4 linked regions of the Anolis sagrei genome follow. The protein of the gene in region 4 interacts with the protein of the main gene of each other region in a pairwise test. Links are inferred from orthologs where the notes say so. Each region holds a gene or a part of one and is shown on either strand. Other genes may lie near its edges.

Region 1 (7,774 bases), on a different chromosome or scaffold from region 4:
CACTTCACTTCACTTTATTTCTTAATTAGTCGCTCTCCACCAAGGTGCTCCGAGCGACTTACAGTCTAAAATAGCATTTACACAATATAAAAACATTCAACATAAAAACATTCAACAGTAACTATTTGGCAAATTAGATCTGATTACTTAAATGCACAACCAAACAGCCGAGTCTTGAGACATGAGAGAAGCCTCCCATAGGATGGTAAAACATCCAGGCATCCCCTGGGCAACGTCCTTGCAAATGACCAATTATCTCACACCAGAAGCGACTTGCAGTTTCTCAAGTCACTCCTGACATGAGAAAAAAAAGTATTTTATGAAATTCTGTCCCCAAATTCCATTTTCCTCCAGTCTTCAATTTTTTACATTACAGCAAGTGAGGAATTTTACTTTAGATACCTAAACTGGCGTTTTAAGTTGCTGCAATGCTATAAATCAGGTTTTTTTGTTTCCTTTTTTTTACTATGGTTGCAGAACTGTTATTATAGGGATTTCGTTTTGCTGCATTCACTGCAAAGAGACAACCCTGGATCAGATTTCCCTGAAGGCAGAAGGGAGGTCTGATATAGTTCTGTGATCAAATGCATTCAGCAATTTGAATTGGGAGTTGTACCCCAAATTTAAAATCTGAAAGGGAATGGGACCTATTTGGTGTTCAACAGCTTCCTTGCGAGGAGGAGCAGTCAAAATTACTGAAGCAGCAACTTGTGATATGACAGCCCTATCCTGATCCCATCCGATCTTGGAAACTAAGCAGGGTCAGCACTGGTTAGTATTTGGATGATTTGGAGACTGCTAATGGTGCTGTAAGCTAACGCAGCATTACATTTCAGACAAGAAACAATCAGAGCCAGCCAATCACCTTCTAATAAAGGATTCCCCCAGGTAGGAAGCAGCCAAGCTTTGAAGCTGCAAGGCCATTCAATGCTAATCATGCCAGCCAATTGTAACATTCACATCTGCCTCAAACACTTGTGAACCGCGTTGAGTCGCCTACGGGCTCAGAAACTGCGGTATACAAGAAAAGTAAATAAATAAATAAACAGACAAGAATTATTTTTCCCACCCTAGACATTATTCCAGAGATATATAAACCTCACTTGCCTAGTTTCCAACAGACCTCACAACCTCTGAGGATGCTTGCTATAGATGTGGGCAAAATGTTAGGAGAGAATGCTTCTGACACATGGCTATACAGCCTGGAAAACTCACAGCAACCTTAATGTTTTCTCTACAGCAATTGCTATAATTCATTTTTTTTTACCAGGGTTGTATTGTGAATTTATGATGTTGTGTTGACTGTTTATTGTTTATGTTTTGCTTTGCACTTGTTGTATTTTGATTGTCACACCTTGAGTGTTCTGTGAGCCGCCCCGAGTCCCTTTGGGAGATGGTGGCAGGATATACAAAAAAGACTATTATTATTATTATTATCATTATTATTCCTGGCCTAGGAAAAACCATGCAAAAATTCAAGTCAACAATCAACTTGAGGTGCATCTACACCAGGTATGAGCAAATTTAGGTCCTCCAGATGTTTTGGACTTCAACTCCCATAATCCCTAACAGCCTCAGGGCCTTTCCTTTCCCGCTTGAGCGGCTGTAGGGGAAAGGAAAGGGCCTGAGGCTGTTAGGGATTGTGGGAGTTGGAGTCCAAAACACCTGGAGGACCTAAGTTTGCTCATAACTGATCTACACTATAGAATTAATTAAGTTTGACCCCATTTTAGCTGCCACAACTCAATGCTAGGGTTTGATGGGAGTTGTAGTCTTGCAAGATCTTTGGCCTTCTCTCCCAAAGAGTAATGGTCCCTCACCAAACTACAAACCCCATTATTCTACATCCTAAGCACTGAGCTAAGGAAGTGAAAGTGAATGCAGAATTACGTTAAGTCGACAGTGCAGATGGGCAACATTATAAAATGTTATTGACCCCCCCCCCCATGGGCTCCTGGGATTTGCAGTTTTATAAGGGATGCACCTGCACTAGGATGAATGCAGTTTTTAGTCCCCACTTTCCTTCATCTTGACTCCTGGGATTTGTAGTTTTACAAGGGCTGCATCTACAGCAGTATGAATTCACTTTGGCACTACTTTCACTGCCCTGGCTCCCTGCTATGGAGTCTTGGGATTTGTAGTTTTACAAGGGCTGCATCTACACCAGTATGAATTCACTTTGGCACCACTTTCACTGCCGTGGCTCCATGGTATGGAATCATGGGATTTGTAGTTTTACAAGAGCTGCATCTACACCAGTATGAATTCACTTTGGCACCACTTTCACTGCCTTGGCTCCATGGTATGGACTCATGGGATTTGTAGTTTTACATGGTATGGGATTTGTAGTTTTACAAGGCCTGCATCTACAGCAGTAGGAATTCACTTTGGCACCACTTCCACTGCCTTGGCTTCATGGTATGGAATGGGATTTGTAGTTTTACAAGGCTAGCATCTACAGCAGTAGGAATTCACTTTGGCATCACTTCCACTGCCTTGGCTTCATGGTACGGAATGGGATTTGTAGTTTTACATGGTATGGGATTTGTAGTTTTACAAGGCCAGCATCTACAGCAGTAGGAATTCACTATGGCACCACTTTCACTGCCCTGGCTTATAAAACTCACCAAAACGGTGCTAGACTGCATTCATTCATTCTACAAGGTAGGAGATGCAGCCCTTTGCAAAACTACAACTCCCATGATTCCATAGCAGAGAAAAGGGGTGTCAAAACTGCAAAAGGGGGTGTCAAAACTGCAAAAAAGGGTGTCAAAACTGCAAAAAGGGGTGTCAAAACTGCATCTTTCAGAGATGCATACAAAACGCACAGATCCAAAGCCAAAGGGGGTTTTTTTCCTCCTCCCCACTACACAGCCCATCATCCCCCCGCCCTCCTCACCTTGACGAAGGCGATGGGAGTTGTAGTGCCTTCGATGTCGAGCAGGAAGACCCTGACTTCCGCGGGCACCGTGAAGCCCACCATCTCCGAGAGGAAAAGAGGGAGAGGAAAGAGGAAAAGGGGGAGCCAATCAATGGGTCTCAGCCGATGCAGCAGAAGGAAGCGCCGCTCGGGCTGAAGCTCACGCCCAAAAGGGAAGAGCAGCCTCCTCTACCCACGTGGCTGGAAGCAGGGCAGCCGCATCCGGATTTGGTCCCCTCCCATTGGCAGCCAAGGAAAAGGAGAGAGAGAGGGAGAGAGAGAGGAGGGCAGAAGGGGCGCCATGGAGGTGGATGGCGGGGAGGCTCCCTGCTATGGACTCCTGGGAGCTGTAGTTTTCTAAGGGATGCATCTACACTAGTATGAAGGCAGTTTGGCACAGCTTCCTCTGTCCTGGCTCCCTCCTAAGGACTCCTGGAAGTTGTAGTTTTCTAAGGGATGCATCTACACTAGTATGAAGGCAGTTCGGCACAGCTTCCTCTGTCCTGGCTCCCTCCTAAGGACTCCTGGGAGTTGTAGTTTTCTAAGGGATGCATCTACACTAGTATGAAGGCAGTTTGGAATAGCTTTCTCTGCTCTGGCTCCCTGCTATGGACTCCTGGAAGTTGTAGTTTTCTAAGGGATGCATCTACACTAGTATGAAGGCAGTTTGGCACGGCTTTCTCTGCTATGGACTGCTGGGAGTTGTAGTTTTCTAAGGGCTGCATCTACGCCAGCATGAATGCCCTTTGGCACCATTTTCACAGCCAGGGCTCTATGCATTGAATCCTGGGAGTTGCAGTTTCACAAGGGCTGCATCGCACATGGGGTATATAGTTTTTACAAGGGCTACATCTAACTAGAAGGAATGCAGTTTAACCCCCACTTTCACTGCCCTGGCTCCATTCAATGGAATTCTGGATTTTTTTTTAAATTTAATTTATTGTGTGTGTGTGTGCGTTCTAAGGGATGCATCTACACAACTATCAATGCAGTTTGGCACCACTTTCACTGCCCTGGCTCCCTGCTATGGAATCCTGGGGTCTGTAGTTTTCTACGAGCTGCATCTACACTAGTATGAATTCCCTTTGGCGTCACTTTCACTGGCCTGGCTCCATGTTAGGAAATTCTGGGATTTGTAGTTTTATAAGGGGTGCATCTACATCTTACACTGGATGCACCTTGGCTCCATTTGAAACTCCTGGTTCCATGCAATGGAATCCTGGGAGATGCAGTGTTCCAAGTTCCCAAATTTGTGGGTCAATCACCCCAAACCCCACTAGTATTCAAAGTTGGCCATGTTAGGTCTGTGTGCCAAGTTTGGTCCAGATCTGACATCAGGTGGGTTCAGTACTCTCTGGATAAGGGTGATCTACAACTCCCAAAATCAAGGTCAATTCCCACAAACCCCTGCAGTATGTTCAGTTGGTCATGGGGCTTCTCGGTGCCAAATGTGGTCCCAATCCATTGTTGATGGGGGGGGGGGTCACAGTTTCTATGGATACAGGTGAACTATAACTCCCATAAATTAAGATCATCTCTCCCCCCCCCCCCCCCAGATGTCTCCAGTATATTCCGTTGATCATGGGGAGTCTGTGTGCCAAGTTTGGTTCAGGTCCATCATTTGTGGTCTGTGGAAGTTGGAGCTGAATCTGGTGAAGGTACTACAAATCCTGTCATTTTTGGCCCATCCTCCCCCAAACCGCAACAGGACATAAAGTGGGTCATGGGAGGTCTGTGTGCCAAGTGTAGTCCTGGTCTGTCCTTCGTGGGGATTGCAGTGGCCTGTGGTAGTGAGTGAAGATATTTTCCTCCAGATGTGATGTTTTGGCGGTGGGTCCGTAGGTGGCTGTGGAGCCCTATTCTTGCTCCGCATGTTCTCCTGCAGTGGAGTTTCCAAACGGAAGGTGGTCCCAGTCAGGGTTAGCTTGTCGTGCCTTCCTCTTGGCACGTTTCTCCCTTTTGCCCTCCATTCGAATTCTGCAGCACTGCTGGTCACAGCTGATCTCCAGTTAGAGTGCTCAAGGGCCAGGGCTTCCCAGTTCTCTGTGTCTATGCCACAGTTTTTGAGGTTGGTTTTAAGCCAATCTTTGAATCTCTTTTCCTGTCCACCAACATTCTGTTTTCCGTTCTTGAGTTCGGAGTAGAGTAACTGCTTTGGGAGACGGTGGTCGGGCATTCGAACAGCGTGGCCGGTCTAGCACAGTTGATGGTGGAGGAGCATCGCTTCAATGCTGGTGGTCTTTGCTTCTTCCAGCATGCTGACATTTGTCCGCCTGTCTTCCCAAGAGATTTGCAGGATTTTTCGGAGGCAGCGCTGATGGAATCGTTCCAGGAGTTGCATGTGATGTCTGTAGGCAGTCCACGTTTCGCAGGGTTGGGAAGACAATGACTTTTTAAACAAGCACCATGGTATCCCTATGGATTTCCCAATCCTCAAATATTTTCTGTTTCATTTGGACAAATGCTGCACTCGCAGAGCTCAGGTGGTGTTGTATTTCAGAGTCAATATTGTATTTTGTGGAGAGGTGGCTGCCAAGGTAGCGAAAATGGTCAACATTTTCTAATGTTACACCATTAAGCTGTATCACCGGCATTGGAGAGGGATTGGCTGGTGACTGCTGGAAGAACACTTTGGTTTTCTCAATGTTCAATTACAGGCCGAGCTTCTCGTATGCATCTGCGAAGGTGTTTAGAGTGGCTTGTAGGTCTTCTTCTGAATGCGCACAGACGATGTCATCAGCATATTGGAGTTCTATAACAGATGTTGTTATAACCTTTTGGCTTTCAGTCTGCTGAGGTTAAATAGGTTGCCATCTGTCCGATAGATTATTTTCACTCCGGTGGGAAGCTTCCCATCAGCAAGATGAAGTATCATAGAGATGAAGATGGAGAATAAAGTTGGGGCAATAACACATCCCTCTTTGACACCTGATTCCACCTTAAATGGGTCACTTTGGAGCCACTGCTGTCCAAGACAATTGCCATTATGTTATCATGGCTTTATAAACAAGCACCTTGGTATCCCTACGGATGTCCCGATTCTCTGCTTCATTCGGAAGAATGCTTCACTCGCAGAGCTCAGGCAGAGTTGTATTTCAATGTCAGTGTTGACTTTTGTGGAGAGTTGGTTGCCAAGGAAGCAGAAATGGTCAACATTTTCTAATATTGTACCATTAAACTGTATTTCTGGTATTTATTTATTTTATTTAGTACATTTCTATACCGCCTCTCTCAGCCTTCCGGCGACTCGAGGCAGTTTACAAGGCAAGAATTCATTGCCGCCAAGGACACAATTACAATATACGATGTAAAAAACATCAGTAACAATAAAATCAAACATTGTAATGAAACATACTTCAACCGATAATCATTAAAACAATGTCCAGTTATGCCATATAATTATTCCATTATTATATCAGTTACTCCGTTAAGATTCTTCCAGAATGACAGGAGCGAGGAAGCCAATTGACTCTCCCTAGGAAGGGTGTTCCATAGCCGAGGGGCCACCACTGAGAAGGCCCTCTCTCTCGTTCCCACTAGCTGTACTTGTGAAGATGGCAGGACCAAGAGCAGGTTCATAAGAGGAGATTCGTTCGGACAGGTAAGTTGGGCCAGAACCATTTAGAGAAGGAAGAGCACTTTGGGGAGTTGCAGTGACCTGTGGTAATGAGTGAAGGTACTGCAAAGCCCATCATCCGTGGCAAGTTTGGTCCAGATTCATTGGTTGGTTTCACAGTGCTCTCTGGATGTGAACTACAACTCCTATAAATCAAGATGTACCTAATGTAGGCCATAGGAAAGGGTAAAGGGAGAGCCAGGGCCTGAGTAGTGAGTGACACTTTTGTTCAGTGCACACAAGCTTTGTCCTATCATTCTGTGAAATATAGACTGAAGAGGTCAATGATACCTGATTCCACCTTAAATGGGCCACTTTGGGAGCCACTGCTGTCCAAGACAGTTGCCATTATGTCTTTATAAACAAGAACCTTGGTATCCCTACGGATGTCCCGATCCTCAAACACTCTCTGCTTCATTCGGAAGAATGCACTCGCAGAGCTCAGGCGGAGCTGGATTTCAGTGTCAATGTTGACTTTTGTGGAGAGTTGGCTGCCAAGGAAGCAGAAATGGTCAACATTTTCTAATATTGTACCATTAAACTATATTTCTGGTATTGGAGAAGAAGCGCTTTGGGGGGTTGCAGTGACCTGTGGTAGTGAGTGAAGGTAATGCAAAGCCCATCATCCATGGCAAGTTTGGTCCAGATTCATTGGTTGGTTTCACAGGGCTCTCTGGATATGAACTACAACTCCTATAATCATAGAATCAAAGAGTTGGAAGAGACCTCGTGGGCCATCCAGTCCAACCCCCTGCCAAGAAGCAGGAATATTGCATTCAAATCACCCCTGACAGATGGCCATCCAGCCTCTGCTTAAAAGTTTCCAAAGAAGGAGCCTCCACCACACTCCGGGGCAGAGAGTTCCACTGCTGAACGGCTCTCACAGTCAGGAAGCTCTTCCTCATGTTCAGATGGAATCTCCTTTCTTGTAGTTTGAAGCCATTGTTCCGCGTCCTAGTCTCCAAGGAAGCAGAAAACAAGCTTGCTCCCTCCTCCCTGTGGCTTCCTCTCACATATTTATACACGGCTATCATATCTCCTCTCATCCTTCTCTTCTTCAGGCTAAACATGCCCAGCTCCTTAAGCCACTCCTCATAGGGCTTGTTCTCCAGACCCTTGATCATTTTAGCCGCCCTCCTCTGGACACATTCCAGCTTGCCAGTATCTCTCTTGAATTGTGGTGCCCAGAATTGGACACAATATTCCCAGGTGTGTTGTTCATTCGTTCAGTCGTCTCC
Region 2 (7,630 bases), on a different chromosome or scaffold from region 4:
GTGCAGGCATGGGCAAACTTGGGCCTTCCTTCCAGGTGTTTTGGACTTCAATTCCCACCATTCCAAACAGCTTCAGGCCCCGCTTAAGTGGCTGGGGGGGGGGGGGGAAAGGAAGGGTCCTGAGGCTGTTAGGAATGGTGAGAGTTGAAGTCCTAAACACCTGGAGCAGGGCTGTAGCCAGAAAAAAATTTCGGGGAGGGTTGAAAATTTCGGGGGGGGGGGGGGTTGAAAATTTTGGGGGAGGGGGGGGGTTGAAACCGGCCTCCTACCTCACGCTGAAGCAAAGAGCACAGCCGGGGGCAGAGCAATCTTCAATAGTCTGCAGCTCAACTCCTGTAAACCACCTCCACCAAGTCTGGTCTCCTTAATGAGAGCATTCAACACACACACACCCAACTTGGTTGCTTCACTACATCGGCTATGGCTGCAAGTAATGACAGTGTGAATAAATTGTCAATCTATGCTTGAGATAGTGCTTACAGTTCTGGAGGAACTCTTAATTTTTTGCATCTCATAGACTTAGCATGGGAATTTGGTTAACCAGTTAAAATTCATGAGTAAGCCAGGTTTTTTTAAAAAAATCTGAAACATTTCGGGGGGGGGGTTGAACCCCTAAAACCACCCCCTTGCTACAGGCCTGGATGTCCGAAGTTTGCCCATGCCTGCTTGAGCACTTCTCAGGAAGGTCTCCCATCAAGTGGAGAGGCTTCCCCACGACTTAGTCTTTTGACCCTTCTCTCCGCCAGCCAAGCCCAATGTATGGCCAGCTCTTAAGTGAATCTCAATGAGGAATCCACAGGATGGGAACCTGGCAGGTGAGGGGGGAAAGGAAGGGGCCTGAGGCTCTTAGGAATGGTGGGAGTTGCAGTCCAAAACACCTGGAAGGCTCAAGTTGGAGACCTGGCTGATGCAGTCTGGCACAGGCATGGGTGAACTTGGCCCCTCCAAGTATTTTGGACTGCAGCTCCCACCCTTCCTAACAGCCCCAGGTCCCTTCCTCCCCCCTGCCCCCCCCCCACCAGCCACAGTCCAAAACACCTGGAGGAAAGGCCCACGTTTGCCCATGCCTGCTTGAGCACTTCTCAGGGAGGTCTTCCATCAAGTGGAGAGGCTTCCCCACTGCTTAGTCTCCCAATGTACCCAGAAAGGGAAGAAGAAGGCGGCATGCTCGAGCAGCAGCTGGACCTTTCCATTTCCCACTCCCCCATCTTTTGGCCCTTCTCTCCGCCAGCCAAGCCTAATGTATGGCCAGTTCAACGAGGAATCCACACGATGGGAACCTGGCAGGTGAGGGGGGAAAGGAAGGGGCCTGAGGCTCTTAGGAATGGTGGGAGTTGCAGTCCAAAACACCTGGAAGGCTCAAGTTGGGGACCTGGCTGATGCAGTCTGGCACAGGCATGGGCGAACTTGGGCCCTCCAAGTATTTTGGACTGCAGCTCCCACCCTTCCTAATAGCCCCAGGTCCCTTCCTCCCCCCCTCCCTCCCCCCAGCCACAGTCCAAAACACCTGGAGGAAAGGCCCAAGTTTGCCCATGCCTGCTTGAACGCTTCTCAGGGAGGTTTTCCATCAAGTGGAGAGGCTTCCCCACTGCTTAGTCTCCCAATGCACCCAGAAAGGGAAGAAGAAGGCGGTGTGCTCGAGCAGCAGCTGGACCTTTCCCTTTCCCACTCCCCCCATCTTTTGGCCCTTCTCTCCGCCAGCCAAGCCTAATGTATGGCCAGCTCAATGAGGAATCCACACGATGGGAACCTGGCAGGTGCTTAAGCAGCTGAGGGGGGAAAGGAAGGGGCCTGAGGTTGTTAGGAACGGTGGGTGTTGAAGTCCAAAACACCTGGAGGAAAGGCCCAAGTTTGCCCATGCCTGCTTGACCACTTCTCAGGGAGGTCTCCCACCAAGTGGGGAGGCTTCCCTTCTCCGTGCTCTCCCTCTGCGCCCAGAAAGGGAAGAAGAAGGCAGTGTGCTCGAGCAGCAGCTGCCCCTTTCCTTTCCCTTCCCTTCCCTTCTCCCCCCATCTTTTGGCCCTTCTCTCCACCAGCCAAGCCCAATGTATGGCCAGTTCAACGAGGAATCCACACGATGGGAACCTGGCAGGTGCTTAAGCAGCTGTGGGGGGAAAGGAAGGAGCCTGAGGTTGTTAGGAACGGTGGGTGTTGCAATCCAAAACACCTGGAAGGACCAAGTTTGCCCATACATGCCTGCTTGAGCACTTCTCAGGGAGGTCTCCCACCAAGGAGAGAGGCTTCCCCACTGCTTAGTCTCCCAATGCACCCAGAAAGGGAAGAAGAAGAAGGCGTGCTCGACCAGCAGCTGGACCTTTCCCTTCCCTTCCCTTCTCACCCCATCTTTTGGCCCTTCTCTCTGCCAGCCAAGCCCAATGTATGGCCAGCTCTTAAGCGAATCTCAATGAGGAATCCACACGATGGGAACCTGGCAGGTGAGGGGGGAAAGGAAGGGGCCTGAGGCTCTTAGGAATGGTGGGAGTTGCAGTCCAAAACACCTGGAAGGCTCAAGTTGGGGACCTGGCTGATGCAGTCTGGCACAGGCTCAAGCAGGCATGGGCAAACTTGGGCCTTTCCTCCAGGTGTTTTGGACTGGGGCTGGGGGGGGGGAGGGGGGAGGAAGGGGCCTGAGGTTGTTAGGAAAGGTGGGTGTTGCAGTCCAAAACACCTGGAAGGACCAAGTTTGCCCATGCCTGCTTGAGCACTTCTCAGGGAGGTCTCCCACCAAGTAGAGAGGCTTCCCCACTGCTTAGTCTCCCTCTGCGCCCAGAAAGGGAAGAAGCAGGCGGCGTGCTCGAGCAGAATCTGGACCTTCCCCGGCTCACTCACCCCATCTCCCGGTTCTTGTCTCCTCCGGGCAATCCCGCCTGCATTGCCGGGGGCGAGAGAGCGCTGGACAGCGGCGGGGTCTCTCCTCCGCCTCGCTCTCCTCCTCGGCAGGGAAAGGCGGGCGAGTCCCCACTTCGCACATCCCTCCGGGTGGAAAGGGGGACCTCCGGGTGGGTCGCCTTTCAGGGGCTTTTACATAAGAGCCGGTCCGGACGAGAAGGCTCTCTGCTTGGCTGCTTGGCTAGCGGACTCTTCTCCTTCTTCTCCTTCTTCGCTGGGGATCCAGCTCTGGACGAGGAGGAGCAAGAGGAGGCTTCAGGTCTCACCTTGACCCCACCTCTCTCTCTCTCTCTCTCTCTCTCTCTCTCTCTCTCTCTCTCTCTCTCTCTCTGCCTCCCTCCCACTTCCCTCTCTCTCTCTCTCTCTGTGATGATCTGCAGCCTCCTCCTCGGACACTCGCCCAATGCTGCTGCTGCTGATCAGACTCAGAGGCGGAAGGAGGTGTGGCTTGAGCAAAAGGCCCCGCCCCAGCTCCCACGTTCACCCCGCCCCCTCCCCTCCCCTTCTTTGGCAGCTGGACCCACGTGCGTTCCATAAAAGGTATGGCATCCCCTCCCCAAAATGCATGCACCCTTCACATCTTATTCTGAATCTCTTCTTTGCACTTCCCCCAAATTGCATGCACCCTGCACATCTTCTCATTCTGAAGATACGTTTTGAATTCCCTCCAATTGCATGCACCCTGCACTTCTCATTCTGAAGATCTGTTTTGCATTTCCCCAAAATTGTATGCACCCTGCACATCTTCTCACTCTGAATTCCTCCCAAATTGCATGCACCCTGCACATTTTATCATTCTGAATCTATGCTTTGCATTCCCTCCAATTGCATGCACATCTTCTCATTCTAAATATATGTTTTGCATTCCCCCCCCCCCAATTGCATGCACCCTTAACATCTTATCATTCTGAAGATATGTTTTAAATTCCCCCCAATTGCATGCATCCTGCACATCTCATTCTGAATTTGTGCTTTGCATTTCCCCCAAATTGCATACTCCCTGCACATCTTATCATTCTGAATATATGTTTTGAATTCCTCCCAAATTGCATGCACCATGCACATCTTCTCACTGTGAAAATATGTTTTGCATTTCCCCTAAATTGCATGTACCCTGCACATCTTCTCATTCTGAATACATGTGGAGTATCTTGCATTTGTCACTGTTGAACTTCATTTTGATGGGCCAAAACTAACAAAATAAAGTTCAACAGTGACAAATGCAAGATACTCCACTTTGGCAGAAAAAATGAAATGCAAAGATACAGAATGGGGGACAATGCCTGGCTCGAGAGCAGTACGTGTGAAAAAGATCTTGGAGTCCTCGTGGACAACAAGTTAAACATGAGCCAACAATGTGATGTGGCGGCAAAAAAAGCCAATGGGATTTTGGCCTGCATCAAGAGGAGCATAGTGTCTAGATCTAAGGAAGTAATGCTACCCCTCTATTCTGCTTTGGTTAGACCACATCTGGAATATTGTGTCCAATTCTGGCACCACAATTCAAGAGAGATATTGACAAGCTGGAATGTGTCCAGAGGAGGGCGACTAAAATGATCAAGGGTCTGGAGAACAAGCCCTATGAGGAACGGCTTAGGGAACTGGGCATGTTTAGCCTGAAGAAGAGAAGGCTGAGAGGAGATATGATAGCCATGTATAAATATGTGAGAGGAAGCCACAGGGAGGAGGGAGCAAGCTTGTTTTCTGCTTCCTTGGAGACTAGGACGCGGAACAATGGCTTCAAACTACAAGAGAGGAGATTCCATCTGAACATTAGGAAGAACTTCCTGACTGTGAGAGCCGTTCAGCAGTGGAACTCTCTGCCTCCGGAGTGTGGTGGAGGCTCCTTCTTTGGAAGCTTTTAAGCAGAGGCTGGATGGCCATCTGTCAGGGGTGATTTGAATGCAATATTCCTGCTTCTTGGCAGAATGGGGTTGGACTGGATGGCCCATGAGGTCTCTTCCAACTCTTTGATTCTATGATTCTATGATTCTATGTTTTGCATTCCCTCCAATTGCACGCACCCTGCACATCTTCGTCTTATTCCTTTTTCATTCTGAATCTATGTTTTATATTTCCCCAAAATTGCATGAACCCTTCACATTTTATCATTCTGAATCTATGTTTTGCATTCCTCCCAAATTGCATGCACCCTGCACATCTTCTCATTCTGAAGATATGTTTTAAATTCCCTCCAATTGCATGCACCCTTCATATTTTATCATTCCGAGTATATGTTTTGCACCCACCCATACACACAAATTGCATGCACCCTTCACATCTCATTCCAGAGATCTATTTTTCATCTCCCCACCGCTCATTGTATGCATCCTTCACATTTTCTCATTTTAAGTATATGTTTTGCATCCCCCCAAATGCATGCACCCTTCACATCTAATCATACCATGTATGATTTTACAGCAGTGTTTCTTCATCTTCCTAATACCGCAACCCCTTAATACAGTCCCTCATGTGGTGGTGACCCCCAACCATGAAATTACTTTTGTTGCTACTTCATAACTAATTTTGCTACTGTTATGAATCATAATGTAAATATCTGATATGCAGGATGTATTTTCATTCACCAAATTTGGCACAAGTACCCAATATGCCCAAATTTGAATACTGATGGGTTTGGGGGGGGGGGGCAGACGGGACTGATTTTGTCATTTGGGAGATTTAGTTGCTGGGATTTATAGTTCACCTACAATCAGAGAGAATTCTGAACTCCACCAATGATGGAATTGAACCAAATTTGGCGCACAGATCTCCCATGACCAACAGAAAATACTGGGAGGGTTTGGTGGCTACTGACCTTGAGTTTTGGAGTTGTAGTTCACCTACATCCAGAGAGCACTGTGGACTTACGCAATGATGGATCTGGACCAAACTTGGCACAGATACTCAATATGCCCAAAATGTGAACACTGGTGGAGTTTGGGGAAAATAGACCTTGACATTTAGGAGTTGTAGTTGCTGGGATTTATAATTCACCTACAATCAAAGAGCATTCTGAATCCCACCAATTATAGAATTGGGACAAATTTCCCACGCAGAACCCCTATGAGCAACAGAAAATACTGTGTTTTCTGATGGTCTTTGGTGACCCCTTTGAGACCCCCTCGTGACCACCCTAGGATCCCAACCCTAGTTTGGGAAACGCTGTTCTGGAGATATATTTTGCACACCCCCCCCCCCCCCCACACACACACACAATCGTCTGCATCCTTTATATCTTATTATTCTGGTTATATGTTTTGCAAACCCCCCTCCCTCAATTTCATACACATTTCACATTGTCATTCTGGAAATATATTTTGCAACCCCCCAAAATGCATGCCCCCTTCACATCTTATTATTCTGGACATATATTTGGACACCCACCCCCCCCCCCCCCACACACACACACACAATTGTAGGCATCTTATCATCTTATCCTTCACATCTTATAATTCCTTATATTTTGCACATCTCTCCCAATTGCATGCACCCTTCACATCTTATTATTCTAGGTATATGTTTTGCACACACACACACACACACACACACACACACACCGCGATGCATGCACCCATCACATCTTATCATTCTGGCTATATCTTTGCATGGCTCCCTTCCCCAATTGTATGCACCTTTCACGTCTTATCCTGGAAATATATATTTTCCATACACACACACACACACTCCAAATGCATGTACCCTTCACATCTTATCATTCCAAATATATATATTTTGCATTCCCCGCTCCCCCCACCCCTTAGATGCATGATGTCAGCTGCATTAAGATCACTCTGACCAAAAGGTCATGAGTTCGAAGCCAGCCCGGGCTGGGAGTGGGTGTCCAGCCATTGTGTAGCCCATGTCGACCTTTGCAACCCGAAAGACAGTTGCATCTGTCAAGTAGGAAAAATAAGGCACCACCTTGTGTGGGAGGCTAAATTTAACTAATTTATGAGGCCATAAAGAAAAAAGACTCTGGGGAATGTGGAATGCGGAAGAACTTCATCGGTGTCGTTGATGGACGATGAAAAGCAGCAGCTCCCCTGGCGGCCAGAAAAAAGTTAAATAGCCTTGGTGTATTTGTGTGTTAAACGTTGTTTGTCAAAACTGGCATTGAATGTTTGCCATATATGTGTTGACTGTAATCCGCCCTGAGTCCCCTGCGGGGTGAGAAGGGCGGAATATAAGAACTGTAAATAAATAAAAAAAATAAATACCCTTCATATCTTATTCTGGAGACATATTTTGCATCCCTTCCAAATGCATGCATCATTCACATCATTCTGAATATATGTTTTGCACGTGCACACACACACCAATGCATGTACACTTCACAGTTTATGATTCTGGGTATGTATTTTTGTATCTTCCCAAATGCAGGGATCTTTCACAGGATTCAAGATCCTGATTCTTGTGAAATGAGAAGAGCCTCTTCACATGAGGTTTTCAACTTTGGTCAATGACAACAGCACTTGGCAAGGGTCTACTCTTGGAACCCTTGGCATCAAATGGCCCTTTATAAGGTGGAATATGTTGCTCCCATTACGGCTTTGTTATCACATACATTCTTCAAGGTAATGTGGTTTTTCCATCGCCTCCAAATCATGAAAGATCAACACAGTGTTTGTTTATGTTGCATTAATTCTTATTCAAAGAAATAAAGTAACCATTGTGCAAGAAATGAAAGAAAAGACATATACAAAGAAACAAATTACACCAAACAAAAGGGCAATATATCTTG
Region 3 (8,294 bases), on a different chromosome or scaffold from region 4:
TTGCAGAAAGTCTAAACCTGATCAGGTGGTGGTCGGTCCATGGCAAAGGAGCGATGGACAGCTCCTCCACACCGCCACTATCTTCCCATCCCTGACAGAAAACCAGGTCAAGTGTGTGTCCAGCACAGTGGTTAGGGCCAGATACTCGTTGGGACAGCCCCATGTTTGCCATGGCGGCCATGAAGTCCTGAGCCGCTCCTGAAAGAGTGGTCTCTGCATGGACATTGAAGTCCCCCAGCACTATGAGCCGCTGGGACTCCAATGCCAGGCCTGAGACCAACCCTGCTAGCTCAGGTAAGGCATCTGCGGAGCAGCGGGGTGGTCGGTACACCAACAGAATCCCTATCCTGTCCCGGTCTCCTAGCCTCAGGTGGACACATTCGAACAAGGTTGACTGTAGGGCAGGGCACCTGACCAAGGAGATGGAATCTTTATAGACTACTGCAACTCCGCCTCCCCGCCCTCCTGATCTCGGCTGGTGCTGCACAGAGTAGCCTGGCGGGCAAAGCTGGGTGAGGTTGACCCCTCCCGCCTCGTCCAACCAGGTCTCTGTAATGCATGCCAGGTCTGCCTTTTCATCGTAGATTAAGTCCCGGATAGTTGACGTTTTTCCATTGACAGACCTGGCATTCAACAGCACCACCTTCAATCTAGGAGGGTCGTCTACCTTGGTACACAAGTTTACCTTGTCAGGAGAACATTTTGGAATTTTTTTTAGGGTTGTTTCGCGAATTAGCCGAATTGGTTTCTTGCTTCTCCCTTTCCCGTATCTCCCCCTTCCCACCATCACCGCTATGGGGGCCCCCCGACCCACAGAACTCCCCCCCTCCCTCCAGCCCTCTCCACTCATCATATTCTGAGGATCTAATATTGCACTGTTACATGTTACATCCAAGTTCAAACCTAATGATGTATCCTCCTTTTTTCCATTATTATAATTCATTTTTCCGGTTTCATGGTATACCCTCCAGTTCTTTCCAGAAACATTCCCAATGTTGACAACAATTATAAAGTGCAAGGTGAGACAAGCAACTATCAGCTTAAAATAGTAAATCAAGCGCAACATTAGAGTAACAACTACCGGAAAACTATCCCCTCGTTAAAGTGCTAATGAATCACAGTAATAAAGTGCTCCAGTATTACAATACTAGGATAAGGATAAATAAATCTTACCTCTTGGGGCCCTCCTGAGGCTCCGCCCCCTGCAGCCCCAAAGCGAGGAGGATCTCGTCCACCAGCGGCTGGTATTCGAAAACGATCCTCCGGAAGCCGTGCAGAAAGGGCATCGTCCGTCCGGCCTGAAAGCAAGCAACACTCCTTATCCCAAAAGCATGGTTCTTATGGGAGATTTGCATATGCATAATGAGATGCCTTTGCGGCCGGACCTGAGTCCCCACATGGTTCATGTCTTGCATTCATCATCGTTGATATGGAGTGTCCCTTCTCCAAAATGGTTGGAACCAGTATTTGGGATTTCTTTCCAATTTGGGGAGATCTGCACATGCATAACGATATATCTGAAACCCCAACACAAGAGTTCCTTTATAACGGAATATAATCTGCAACGATTATATGATTTATTATATTTATTTTTGATTTTATTATATTGATATTATAAGCTTCTATATTAAAAGGAACATGTAATATTTTATATATAATTATACTATTTAATATAATCTTGAATGCTTATATGAATTAATACAATTTATATCAAATATATATTTTATTCTATTTCATCGAATCAAATATCTGCTCTATTATTTAATATAATCTGGAACAATTATATGATTTAATATGAAATATCTTATTAAATTTAATATGATATAAGATTTAATAAAATAGCATATTTACATAATATCTATTATAATATAATCTGGTACAATTGTATGTTTTAATATAATACATTATTGTATTAAATTCAATATATATGATTTGACATAATCTGGAATGCTTATATGATGTAACATTAAGTTTGATATATATCATATTATATGTAATATAAAAATAACATGATTAAATATAATCTGGATGATATGCTTTAATACATTACATTAATATATTATAGATATTACACGTAACATAATAAAATAACACTGAATATAATATATATTCTATTATTTTATATAATCTGGAACTATTATGTGTTTTAATATAATATAATGTGTATTATATTAAATTTAATACAGTAAAATAAATAAAATAACATTTGATGTATTGTCGAAGGCTTTCATGGGTTGTTGTAGGTTTTTCCGGGCTATATGGCCATGTTCTAGAGGCATTTTCTCCTGACGTTTCGCCTGCATCTATGGCAAGCATCCTCAGAGGTAGTGAGTTCTGTTGGAGTTAGGAAAATGGGTTTATATATCTGTAGAATGACCAGGGTGGGACAAAGGACTCTTGTCTGCTGGAGCTAGATGTGAATGTCTCAACTGACCACCTTGATTAGCATTTAATTTATTTATTTACTTTATTTGTATACCGCTGTTCTCAGCCAGGCGACTCACAGCGGTTAACAACCAGAACAGCAAAAATTCAATGTTATCATAACACAGTATAAAAAACAGTTAACATCATAATGGCTTGGAAGTGCCTGGGGAGAATCTTTTGTTGAGAGTGATTAAACTAACACTTAATGTAATATATTCTATTTATTTGATTTACTTTGGTACTAATATTTAATATAATATAATGTATATTATATTAAATTTAATACCGTAAAATAAATAAAATAACATTTAATGTACTATATATTCTATTTATTGAATTTAATCTGGAACTATTATATGATTTAAAATAATATAATGTATATGATATTAAATGTAATACAGTAAAATAAATAACATTTAATGTACTATATATTATATTATTTTATTTAATCTGGGACATTATTACTCAATATAATATAATATTATAGATATTTGATCTATACTAATTTTATTATATTCAATACAACATAAAATAATATATATTATTTAATGCATAGATCAGGAGAGTCTCCCCCTGCACTCGCTCACCTTTCTCTCCTGCAAAACCTCTTCTTTTTCCGCGTCTCTCCTTTGCAAAGGCGGCTTCCCTTCCAGCCGAAAAGGAAGCGGAAGGAAGGAAGGAAGGAAGGAGGGCTTTTGGGTAGATTTGGAAACAAAACAAAAATGCAGTTTATCTCCTGGGCTTGGTTTCTCTGGCGCCACCTGCTGGCCGGGGGGAACTCGGCTGCTCTCCGCCAAAAGCCCTGCAGCGCCTCCCACGGCCACCGGAGGGCGGTGTTCCCTAACTAGAGGAAAGGAGCACGCCCCAGGCAGGCAGGGAGGGAGGGAGGGAGGGAGAGGTAGGTAGGTAGGTAGGTAGGCATGTGGGTGGATGGATGGATGGGGGGAGAGATAGATGGATCGATAGATGGATCGATGGATCAATAGAGAGAGAGAGAGAGAGAGAGAGAGAGAGATAAAGGGATAGACGGATGGATGGACGAATAAAGGTATAGATGGATGGATGGATGGATGGATGGATGGATGGATGGATGGATGGATGGATGGATGGATGGATGGATGGATGGATGGATGGATGGATGGATGGATGGATGGATGGATGGATGGATGGATGGATGGATGGATGGATGGATGGATGGATAGATAGATGATAGATAGATAGATAGATAGATAGAAGATAGGGGGATATATGGATGGATAGATAGAGGGATATATGGATAGATAGATAGATATCGATAGATCGATAGATAGATAGATAGATAGATAGATAGATAGATAGAGGGATATATGAATGGATGGATGGATGGATGGATAGACAGACAGATAGATAGATAGATAGAGGGATATATGGATGGATGGATGGATGGATGGATAGATGGATGGATGGATGGATGGATGGATAGATAGATAGATAGATAGATAGAGGGATAGAGGGATAGATAGATAGATAGATAGATAGATAGATAGATAGATAGATAGATAGATGATAGATAGATGATAGATAGATGATAGATAGATGATAGATAGATAGATAGATAGATAGATAGATAGATAGATAGATAGATAGATAGATAGAAGATAGGGGGATATATGAATAGATAGATAGAGGGATATATGGATAGATAGATAGATATCGATAGATAGATAGATAGATAGATAGATGATAGATAGATGATAGATAGATAGATAGATAGATAGAAGATAGGAGGATATATGGATAGATAGATAGAGGGATATATGGATAGATAGATAGATATCGATAGATAGATAGATAGATAGATAGATAGATGATAGATAGATGATAGATAGATGATAGATAGATAGATAGATAGATAGATAGAAGATAGGAGGATATATGGATAGATAGATAGAGGGATATATGGATAGATAGATAGATATCGATAGATCGATAGATAGATAGATAGATAGATAGATAGATAGATAGAGGGATATATGAATGAATGGATGGATGGATGGATGGATGGATAGACAGATAGATAGATTGATAGATAGATAGATAGATAGATAGATAGATAGATAGAAGATAGGGGGATATATGGATAGATAGATAGAGGGATATATGGATAGATAGATATCGATAGATCGATAGATAGATAGAGGGATATATGAATGAATGGATGGATGGATGGATGGATGGATGGATAGACAGACAGACAGACAGACAGACAGACAGATAGATAGATAGATAGAGGGATATATGGATGGATGGATGGATGGATGGATGGATGGATGGAGGGAGGGATGGATGGATGAATGGATGGCTCGAGGGATGGATGGATAGTTAAGAGAGAGGGTTAGATCAAGGGATGGATGGATTGATGGATGAACAGACAGATGGACAGAGAGGGAGGGATATATGGATGGATGGAGGAATAAAGGGGTAGATGGATGGATGGATAGACAGATAGATGGATAGAGGAATAAAGGGATGGATAGATGGAGGTATAAAGAAAGAGATGGATAGATAGAGGGATATATGGAGGGATGGGTGGATAGATAATTGGATAGATAGATAGAGAGGGGAGATATATGGATGGATGGATGGATGGATGGATGGATGGATGGATAGAGGAATAAAGGGATGGATGGAGGGATAAAAGGATAGATAGGCTAGATAAAATACATAGAGAGATAAAGGGATAGATAGAAATATTAGATAGATATTAAAAAATATAAATAAATAAATAAATAATGAAATTGAAATAAAATTAAAATAAAAACAATTTTAAAATATAATAAAAACAAAACAAAAATAAAAAAATATTATCTTGTCTCCTCTATGGATTTTTGGGATATATATTTCATAAAAATATTACTAATGTGTTAACAACACACACAGAGAGATATATACACACATATATATAATGTGATATATATATGTGTGTGTGTGTTATTAACATATATATACACACAAACACCCTGAATTAAAATACATTTGAATTACAGTGCATACTGAGGGCCCATTCTTTAAAGAAAATTACAAAATAACTTAGTAATATTAATCAAATATCCATATTTTAAAAATACATTTTTAATTACGGTTGATACCAAGGGCCCATTTACAAAATAATAATAATTTAGTAACACACACATATACATATATACGGTAGGCTGTTAGGAATTGTGGGAGTTGAAGTCCAAAACACCTGGAGGGAGGGCCCAAGTTGGTCCAGGCCTGGTGTGTATGTGTATGTGTTTGTGTATGTGTTTGTATGTGCATATAATATATTACATTTTAAATCACATTTTCACAATATGATATCCCGCCTGGGACCATGCAGCCATACATCCTATTATGCTGGGAGTTTGGGGAAGGAATGCAGCCTGAGAAGCCTCCGGGCCTTGGCAAACTACAACTCCCAGGGCGCCAAAGTGGTGCCAAACTGGATTAACTCCTGCAGTGTAGGCGCAGCTCCACTGGGCCTGCCTTTCTGCGGGGAAGAGAGGCTTCCTCCCAGCCTGGTGGCGTGGCTTTTGCCAAGGCCTGCCTGCCTGCCTTCCCTTTGAAGCCTTTCCCTCCAAATTCCAGGAAAACGCCGTCTCCCAAGGGCCTCTTCAGGCCCAAGAACTCCGGCGCCGCCGCCGCCCGGCTGCTCCCCCCTCAAAAACCTTATATATTATCGAAAATGAACGCCCTGCTCAATGCCACGGCCTCCTTGGGTTTGCACCGTTTGCAGCTTAGGCCCCTGGGAAACTTCAAATCCCAGGGTTCAATAGAACGGAGCTGTGAATGTTATCTTTCTAAGGAAGCATCCATATTATTCAATGAAAGCCATGCCCAATGCTGTGGCATCCAAGGACCCATAGTTTGCACCTCGGGCCCTTGGGGAACTACAAATTCCAAGGCCTCCATCCAATGGAGATTTATTTAGATATGGCCATTACCTTCCTTACGATGTGTCTGTATTATTGAACGAATGCTGCCATGCCCAATGCTGTGGCATCCTGGGACCTATAGTTTGCACCTCGGGCCCTTGGGGAACTACAAATCCCAAGGCCCCCATCCATTGGAGATTTATTTAGATATGGTCATTTCCTTGCTTACAACATGTCTGTATTATTGAACAAATGCCGCCATGCCCAATGCTATGGCATCCTGGGACCCATAGTTCGCACCTCGGGCCCTTGGGGAACTACAAATCCCAAGGTCCCTATCCAATGGAGATTTATTTAGATATGGCCATTACCTTCCTTACGATGTGTCTATATTATTGAACAAATGCCACCATGCCCAATGCTGTGGCATCCTGGGACCTATAGTTTTCACCTCAGGCCCTTGGGGAACTACAAATCCCAAGGCCTCCGTCCAATGGAGATTTATTTAGATATGGCCATTACCTTGCTTACGATGTGTCTGTATTATTGAGCGAATGCCACCATGCCCAATGCTGTGGCATCCTGGGACCTATAGTTTGCACCTCAGGCTCTTGGGAAACTACAAATCCCAATGCTCCCATCCAATGGAGATTTATTTAGATATGGCCATTACCTTGCTTACGATGTGTCTGTATTATTGAACGAATGCTGCCATGCCCAATGCTGTGGCATCCTGGGACCTATAGTTTGCACCTCAGGCTCTTGGGAAACTACAAATCCCAATGCTCCCATCCAATGGAGATTTATTTAGATATGGCCATTACCTTGCTTATGAAGCGACTGTATTATTGAACGGATGCCACCATGCCCAATGATGTGGCATCCTGGGACCCATAGTTTGCACCACAGGCCCTTGGGGAACTACAAATCCCAAGGCCCCCATCCAATGGAGATTTATTTAGAGATGGCCATTACCTGTATTATTGAACAAATGCCGCCATGCCTAATGCTGTGGCATCCTGGGACCCATAGTTCACACCTCAGGCCCTTGGGAAACTACAAATCCCAAGCCCCCCCATCCAATGGAGATATGGTCGTTACCTTGCTTAAGGCGCGTCTTTATTATTGAATGAATGCCATGCTTAATTAGATGGCATTCTGGGATGTGTAGTTTCACCTTGGAGAACTACGAATCCCAGGGATCCATAGAACGGGGCTGTGGGCTATTCTTTTTTCTAAGGGCGAGCCCATATTATCGAATAAATGCTAGAGCGCCCTGGGATTTGTAGGTTTGCAGCTCAGGGCCTTGGGAAACTACAGATCCCAAGGGAAGTGAAGGCTATTTGGGGAGGAAAGGGGCCGGGAGGGGTGGGAGCCGGGCGCCGAAAACAACAGGAAACCTCAGGGATGAGTCAATGGCTGAAAGGCATTTGGGGGAAAAAGGGATGATTTCACACAAACTGGAGTCACAGCAATGGAATGAGGCCCAAGCGTCCCATGGAAAAAGGTCACCACCATCCCCTTGCTTGCTTGCTTCCCTCCTTCACAACACATCCCTAGTATTATATTTATTGATAACCCTGCATTATCTCCCCAAAGGAGACTCAAAGCGGCAAGATCAATAATATTATTGATATTGCCACCCATCTATAATAATAATAATAATAATAATAATAATAATAATAATAATAATACAATACGTGGATTGCAAATGGCTAATAATCAATATACAAGTTGCCATTGGGTTCATATTATTGATATTGCAGCCATCTATTATTATTATTATTATTGGTAAATCAAGAGTTATAATCTGAGTATAATTATAATGGAGATAAGGGTGATAAGAAGAAGGGAAAATAATAATAATAATAATAATAATAATAATAATAATAATAGATGGTTGCAATATCAATAATATGAACCCTATGACAGCTTGTATATTATTAGCCATTTGCAATCCACGTATTATTA
Region 4 (7,314 bases):
TAAACCGGAACTATCTTTCAACACACTTATTGGCTGGTGTTAAACACCATTTCTATATATACTGTTTTTAGAGGGTTAAACAGTTTTTAAAACTGTTATTTATGTTTACACTATTGTGCTATTTTGTTTTATTAATTGATATTTGATCACTGTCTGTAAGTTGCTGAGGTCCTTTAGGAAGAGGGGCGGAATATAAATAAAGCTTATTATTATTATTCATTATATAATGCATTCGTTTGTTTTTCTGTAAGTTGTCCAGTCCCTTTGGGGAGAGGGGGCAGGATAGAACATTAAGATCATCTGGGGAGGCCCTGCTCTCGGTCCTACAACCTTCATAGGTGAGACTGGTGGGTATGGGAGACAGGACTTTCTCCGTGGTGGATCCTTGGCTGTGGAACTCCCTCCCCAATGAAATTAGGTCTGTGCCCTCTGTCTTGGCCTTTTGTAAAAAATAATAATATTAAAACCTGGCTGTGGGTTCAAGCATTTGAGCAGTAAATGTAGCAACTAGGAAGAGAATGTTTGACGTGACCGGCAATAGACTGACCTTGGACTATGATTCTGAACTGGCGGACTGTTTTAAATTGAATGTTTATAATTGTTTTTAATTGCTGTTTTCATTGTAACTGTGTATTTTAATGTATTTGTTTGGCATCTAATGGTTGGCTGTTATAAGCCGCCCTGAGTCTCCCTCCAGGGGTGAGAAGGACAGGGGTATAAATACTTGAAATAAATAAAGATAAATGATGCTTATTATTATTATTATTATTGGATTTCCTCTTAGATATTCCTCATATTCGTGGTCAGTTTGCCGTTTTTCAACAAACAGTTTCTCTTTAGACTAGGCATGGGCAAAACTTGGGCCCTCCAGGTGTTTTGGACTTCAAAGCAAATCTATATATATATAAATGCTTTGTGCATAATGATTACCTTAAAAACAAAAGAACCAATGAACAAAATCACACCAAATTTGGCAACAAAACGTCTCACAACACAAGGAGTGACCATCACTCAAAAAATTATGATTTTGTCATTTGGGAGTTGTAGTTGCTGGGATTTATATTTCACTTACAATCAAAGAGCATTCTGAACTCCATTAACGATGGAATTGAACCAAACTTGGCACACAGAACTCCCATGACCAACAGAAAATACTAGAAGTGTTTGGTGAGCATGGACCTTGAATTTGGGAGTTGTAGTTCACCTATATCCAGAGAGCACTGTGGACTCAAACAATGATGGATCTGGACCAAACTTGGCACAAGCACTCAATATGCCCAAATATGAACACAGATGGGAGTTTGGGGGAATAGACCTTGACATTTGGGAGTTGTAGTCACTGGGATTTACAGTTCACCTACAATCAAAGAGCATCCTGAACCCCACAAAGGACAGAATCGGGGGCAAACTTCACACACAGAACCCCCATGACCAACAGAAAATACTTAAGGTCATGCAATACAACTACCTTCATCAGGGCAAGAAAACGTAATCAAAGTCCTCCTGACAAGGAGCCATCCAGCCATAGATAGATATAGATAGATATGATTCACACAGAGAGAGATATAGTATCATAGATTTGAAAGAGACCCTTAAAGAAGGACAATGATATGTTGCATGGAGGCAAACCAGACACTCTCCACATAAACACTGACAAAGAAAAAGCAAGAAATACTCTTTACCCACAAGCATAAAGAAATTACATATAATAGAAACCAACACTTTCTCATTACTTTATTGTCCAGATCAACAGACTGGGCCACAGCAATGCGTGGCAGGGGACAGCTAGTAAAAAATAAAAATGTATTGTCAAAGGTTTTCATGGCCAGAATCACTGGGTTGTTGTAGGTTTTTTCGGGCTATATGGCCATGTTATAGAGGCATTCTCTCCTGACGTTTCGCCTGCATCTATGGCAAGCATCCTCAGAGGTAGTGACCTCACCTAGTCACCTCACTACCTTGATGCTTGCCACAGATGCAGGCAAAACGTCAGGAGAGAATGCCTCTATAACATGGCCATATAGCCCGAAAAAAAAAAAACTACAACAACCCAAGTAATAAAAATAATGCTTCTTATTATTATTATTATTCCCATTGAGTTTCCCCTTAGATATTCCTCACATTCATGGTCAGTTTGCCGTTTTTCAACAAACATGTCCTCACTGTTTCTATTTAGACCAGGCATAGGCAAACTTGGGCCCTCCAGGTGTTTTGGGCGCCAACTCCCACAATTCCTAACAGCCGGAAGTCCAAAACACCTGGAGGGGCCAAGTTTGCCTATGCCTGCCTTAGACATACCTTCTGCTCATGGTAGTTTCTCATACACTGCGGAGGCCAGAACTGCCTGGAAGTGCTTGTCAAGCCTTGGAAGAGGAAGCCCCACTGTGGGCGCGTCTACACTGCAGAATTGATGCAGTTTGATCTCACTTTAATTGCCATGCCTCAATTGCTGTGGAAGCCTGGGAGCTGCTATTCGGCCAGGCCTTGAGCCTTTGCTGCCCAAGGAGGCCGGTGCCTCACCACACTACACATCCCAGGAGCCATGGCCGCACAGGGGGCGTCGAACAGCCCCGATTGCCCAGCGGGCCTCCCTGGCAACAAGGGCGTCTAAGGCGCGACCGGCGGCGGCCCTCAGGCGCTGTGCCTCCAAACCACCCCCCGCCCCGTGGCCTTTCCCCGCTCTCCCGCTCCCCGCGGCAGGCCCCCGCCCCGCCTCGGCTCCGGCCTACCTCCCGCGGGGCCCGGCTGCGGGTGGGGGAATCCGCCGCTCCGCCGCTCGCTCCCCCACCCCTTTCTTTCTCCCTCACAGCCACCACCGGAAACACGCCAGCTCCAACCCGGATGCCCGTCTCTCTCTCTCTCTGTCTCTGTGCCCTCACAGAGGCGGGGATGGGGAAGACTGAAGGAGGGCGCGCGAGGCGGACCACTCTAGCCACCTGGAGAAAGACGCGACTCGCTCACCCCCGCCCACTCTATGTATCGCCCGCTGCCCGACGAGCCAGGCGGAGAGGCACGCGGCGGCCGAGTGGGAGGGGCTTTGAGGGGTGGGCGTGCCGGAGTGGGAGGGGCTTGTTTGTACAGCTGCACGCCGGAGGCACCCAATGGGTTAAACCACTGAGTTGTTGAACTTACTTACCGAAAGGTCGTAGGTTCGAATCCAGGGAGCGGCATGAGCTCCCGCTGTTAGCCCCAGCTTCTGCCAACCTAGCCGTTTCAAAACATGCAAATGTGAGTAGATCAATAGGTACCTCTCTGGCGGGAAGGTAACGGCGCTCCATGCAGTCATGCCGGCCACATGACCTTGGAGGTGTCTACGGACAACGCCGCCTCTTCGGCTTCGAAATGGAGATGAGCACCACACCCCAGAGTCGGACACGACTGGACTTAATGTCAGGGGAAAACCTTTTTTGCTGTCCTAAGTGCCCTGGCTGAATGCCATGGAAAAATGGGAGTTGCAATTTAAGAAGTTCTGTACCCTTCCCTGCCAAAAATGTGCCTGACCAAACTACAACTCCCAGGATTCCATAACATGGAGCCAATGCAGTTAAAGTGGTGTCAAACTACACCCATTCTACAGAAGGCATGGGCAAACTTTGGTCTTCCAGTTGTTTTGGATTTCAACTCCAATTCCTAACAGTCTACTGGTTGTTAGGAATTGTTGGAGTTGACGTCCAAAACACCTGGAAAGCCGAAGTTTGCCCATACCTGTTCTACAGTGTACATTTAACTCATTCTGTTATTTAGCTTCAGCAGACTGAAAGCCAAACCAAGGTGACAACATCTGTTATAGAACTGCAATATGCTGATGATAATGGAGTCTGTGCTCATTCAGAAGAAGGCCTACAAGTTACTTGAAACACATTTGCAGAAGCATACGAAAGCATGGTTTTTTCCACATTTAGAAAACAAAAGTGCTCTTTCAGCAGGCACCAGCCAGTCTCTCTGCAATGCTGGAAATACAACTTAATGATGTAACATTAGAAAATGTTGACCATTTCCACTACCTTGGTAACCATCTCTCCACAAAAGTCAAACATTGACACTGTAATGTAACACCACCTGAGCTCTGCGAGTGCAGCATTTTTCCAAATGAAACAGAGAGTGTTTGTGGATCAGGACATCTATAGGGAGACCAAGGAGCTTGTTTATAAAGCCATTGTTCTCCCAACTCTGTTATATGCCTACAAAATGTGGACACTCAACAGACGTCACATGCAACTCCTAGAACGATTCCATCAGCGCTACCTCCGGAAAATCCTGCAAATCTCTTGAGAAGACAGGCAGACAAATGTCAGTGTCCTAGAATAAGCAAAGACCACCAGCATTGAAGCGATGCTCCTACGACATCAACTCCAGTGGACTGGCCACGTTGTCTAAATGCCTGATTACCATCTCCCAAAGCAGTTACTCTGTTCTCAGATCAAGAACGGAAAATGGGATGTTGGTGGACAAGAAAAGAGATTTAAAGATGGGCTTAAAGCCAATCTTAAAAACTGGCATAGACACTGAGAACTGGGAAGCTCTAGTCCGTGAGCGCCCTAACTGGAGGTCAGCTGTGACCAAAGTGCTGTGGAATTGGAAGCGGCACAAACGGAGGGCGAAAGTGAGAAATGCATCAAGAGGAAGGTGTATCAAGCCAACCCTGACCAGGACCTTCTTCCATCTGGAAACCAATGTCCTCACTGCAGAAGAACATGCGGATCAAGAAGTGGGCTCCAGAGTCACCTACAGACCCACCACCAAGACACTGTGCTTGGAAGGCCATCCCACTCGGACACGAGTGATCACCAATGTTGACAGTGTAGATGCATCCTTACTCAGGGATTTTATATTAGGCATGAGTGGGGAGTTGTCTTCTGCTTCTGGAGTCAAATAGTTCGCCTGATGTCATTTCCCTTCCACTTTTTTCTCCCTTTGCATAAGTGTGCACAAAGGTATAACCAAAGGCAGAACAAAGCCAAAAATAACATTTAACTTGACAGCAGTACTTTTTGAGGCCTGAATAATCAGATATGATCAATGTTCTTTTTGAAAAGAGAATAAACAGGTTTTTCTGCCTCTTATATAACATCTGTTGCAAGTTAAGAAGATTCTCTGCAACTTCCTTCATTCCTTCCTTCTGTAAAGAAAATGCTCTTCATCCTACTTTCCCCCCCTGTTCTCATGTTACTTCAAGTTGAGGATGGAGTCCCTATCCCTTTTTCTTCTCAAAATGTGTTCAGAAGGGGTTGGCCATGGCCTTTCTCTGAGGCCCCTTCTACACTGCCATATAAAATCTGCTTTGAACTGGATCATATGTTGGTGTACACTATATAATCCAGGGCCTTTCCACACAGCCATATAACTCAGAATATCAAGGCGGAATATTTATTTACCTTATTTATACCCCGCCTTTCTCTACTGGGGGGGGGGGGGGCAGTAACTCAGGGCCGGGACTCAATATCTGCTTTGAACTGGAATATCTGAGTCCACATGCCATATATCCCAGTTCAAAGCAGATAATGTGAGATTTTATTCAGCTGCGTGGAAAGGACCCCAGTTCAAAGCAGATAATGTGGACTATCTGCTTTGATAATCTGGATTATGTGGCAGTGTAGAAGGGGCCTGAGACTGAGGGAGTATAATTAACACAGGCCTCTTCTACACTGCCATATAAAATCCAGATTATCTGTTTTCATAAAATTGATTATATGGCAGTGTAGAATGGGGCCTGATATAACCTATGCAGAAACAGTAAAAAAAAAAAGTAGATTGGCATTTACTTGTTTATCACTGGACACATTAGACTCCCTGTAAAGTTGGTCACCACCTAGGTTGCAGAAAAATTATGCTGGAAGGTGTGGAATTGGGGTGGTTATTTGAAACATCTTATGAACTGAGGCTGGATCAGCACTGCCAAATAATGCACTGTACTACATTATATGAGTTTCTGAACTGACCATTGTAATGCAGTTCAAACTGCAGTGTCGATCCAGCCTCAGTTCAGGTATTGACCACAAATTCCTGGGCAGAGAACATGCCCAGAGGTGCTCTGTTCCTTAGCATCTCTCTGTCTATCAGAGTCACCATCTGACTGGTTGGTGGCGCTTGAGGTTCTAGTAGAAAAAAGAAAAGGAAACCACAAAGTAAAACCTGCAGATTTGCATTCTGTCAACTCTGTACCACAAGCGGGAATAAATCAAGGACCTTGATTGAAATGGTTGAGTCTATGATATTCAGAGCTTGAGGGTGATAAGTTAAAAGCAGTGAAGAATCTCTTTGTGGAGAAAAGGGTGCCATGAGAGTAATGCCCCTTCTACACTGCCCTGTATCCCAGGATCTGATCCCAGATTATCCGCTCTAAAGTGGATTATATGAGTCTCCATTTCCCTATCATCTGGGGGCCCTTCCAGACAGGCCCTATAACCCGGGATCTGATCCCAGATTATCCGCTTTAAACTGGATTATCTGGCAGTGTGGACTCATATAATCCAGTTTAAAGCAGAAAACCTGGGATCAGATCCTGGGTTATAGGGCCTGTCTGGAAGGGCCCTGAGATGAACAAATAATCTGGGATCAGATCCTGCGATATAGGGGCAGTGTGGAAGGGACCTAAGGTAGCAATAATTTATTTATTTGTATAATGAGTTTGAAGTTACTTCCAAAATACAACTTCTTAACAGTCCCCTCCTTCAAAGTTCTGTGTCATTCACCTTCATGTGTGATGTGTCCTCAAGTTGCCTATCGATTTATAACAAATATAAACATATTCTTGTTTTATTTCACCTTAATTTCATAGCGCTTTTTAAAGACCAGGTACCCTTAGAGGTGGGTTTTTGAATTCCTTCCTCTAAATTTCATACATTTGTACCCTGCCCTTCTCACCCCCGAGGAGGGACTCAGGGCGGCCTAAAATACAGCCTAAAACACTTCTCACCCAAGTGCTTGTCCTGCTGAGCTTCCAAGATGAGATGGGATCTAGTGCCTTTGAACTATTTATTAATTCTCATATCAGGCTGTAACGGATTAGTCTACCTTGTAGGGTTGGTGTAAAGGCAGTAAATAGACCTGGCTTGGAAAAGCTAAGGAGAGTAGGGGGGTGGAGTGATCAGTCAGCCTCATAGCTGGAAGTGCGGTCTGATTGGCTGGTGAAATTGGAGGCAGTTGCTTAGCAACTGGAGATGGGTGGAGTCATAGGGAAAGGGAGGAGCTAAGGCAGCCATAGTTTAGTCAGTTGGGAGTTTGGTGTTTAAAGGTTAGGTTAGGAGATTTGAAGGGGAAGGAAGGAAAAGTTTTGGGAACTGTTTGTTAGAAAGATACCTCTTTGAGGAAAAA

The links.
Region 1: the proteins of RNF41 (region 4) and ENOPH1 interact in binary tests that used the Homo sapiens proteins (3 or more experiments, as listed by UniProt). The link is inferred for Anolis sagrei from reciprocal best matches to the Homo sapiens genes RNF41 and ENOPH1.
Region 2: the proteins of RNF41 (region 4) and HOMER2 interact in binary tests that used the Homo sapiens proteins (3 or more experiments, as listed by UniProt). The link is inferred for Anolis sagrei from reciprocal best matches to the Homo sapiens genes RNF41 and HOMER2.
Region 3: the proteins of RNF41 (region 4) and ASB6 interact in binary tests that used the Homo sapiens proteins (3 or more experiments, as listed by UniProt). The link is inferred for Anolis sagrei from reciprocal best matches to the Homo sapiens genes RNF41 and ASB6.

Annotation. Positions count from the first base shown.
Region 1 is NC_090025.1:17,105,718-17,113,491, reverse strand, and holds the start of ENOPH1 (enolase-phosphatase E1), read right to left. Parts: upstream 3,119-7,774; 5' UTR 2,984-3,118; coding exon 2,900-2,983; intron 1-2,899. UniProt on the Homo sapiens protein: Bifunctional enzyme that catalyzes the enolization of 2,3-diketo-5-methylthiopentyl-1-phosphate (DK-MTP-1-P) into the intermediate 2-hydroxy-3-keto-5-methylthiopentenyl-1-phosphate (HK-MTPenyl-1-P), which is then dephosphorylated to form the acireductone 1,2-dihydroxy-3-keto-5-methylthiopentene (DHK-MTPene).
Region 2 is NC_090029.1:32,558,264-32,565,893, forward strand, and holds the start of HOMER2 (homer protein homolog 2), read right to left. Parts: upstream 3,302-7,630; 5' UTR 2,874-3,301; coding exon 2,830-2,873; intron 1-2,829. UniProt on the Homo sapiens protein: Postsynaptic density scaffolding protein. Binds and cross-links cytoplasmic regions of GRM1, GRM5, ITPR1, DNM3, RYR1, RYR2, SHANK1 and SHANK3.
Region 3 is NC_090031.1:3,738,515-3,746,808, forward strand, and holds the start of ASB6 (ankyrin repeat and SOCS box protein 6), read right to left. Parts: upstream 3,098-8,294; 5' UTR 3,015-3,097; intron 1,299-3,014; 5' UTR 1,287-1,298; coding exon 1,174-1,286; intron 1-1,173. UniProt on the Homo sapiens protein: Probable substrate-recognition component of a SCF-like ECS (Elongin-Cullin-SOCS-box protein) E3 ubiquitin-protein ligase complex which mediates the ubiquitination and subsequent proteasomal degradation of target proteins.
Region 4 is NC_090022.1:138,317,869-138,325,182, forward strand, and holds the start of RNF41 (E3 ubiquitin-protein ligase NRDP1), read right to left. Parts: upstream 3,023-7,314; 5' UTR 2,730-3,022; intron 1-2,729. UniProt on the Homo sapiens protein: Acts as E3 ubiquitin-protein ligase and regulates the degradation of target proteins. Polyubiquitinates MYD88. Negatively regulates MYD88-dependent production of pro-inflammatory cytokines.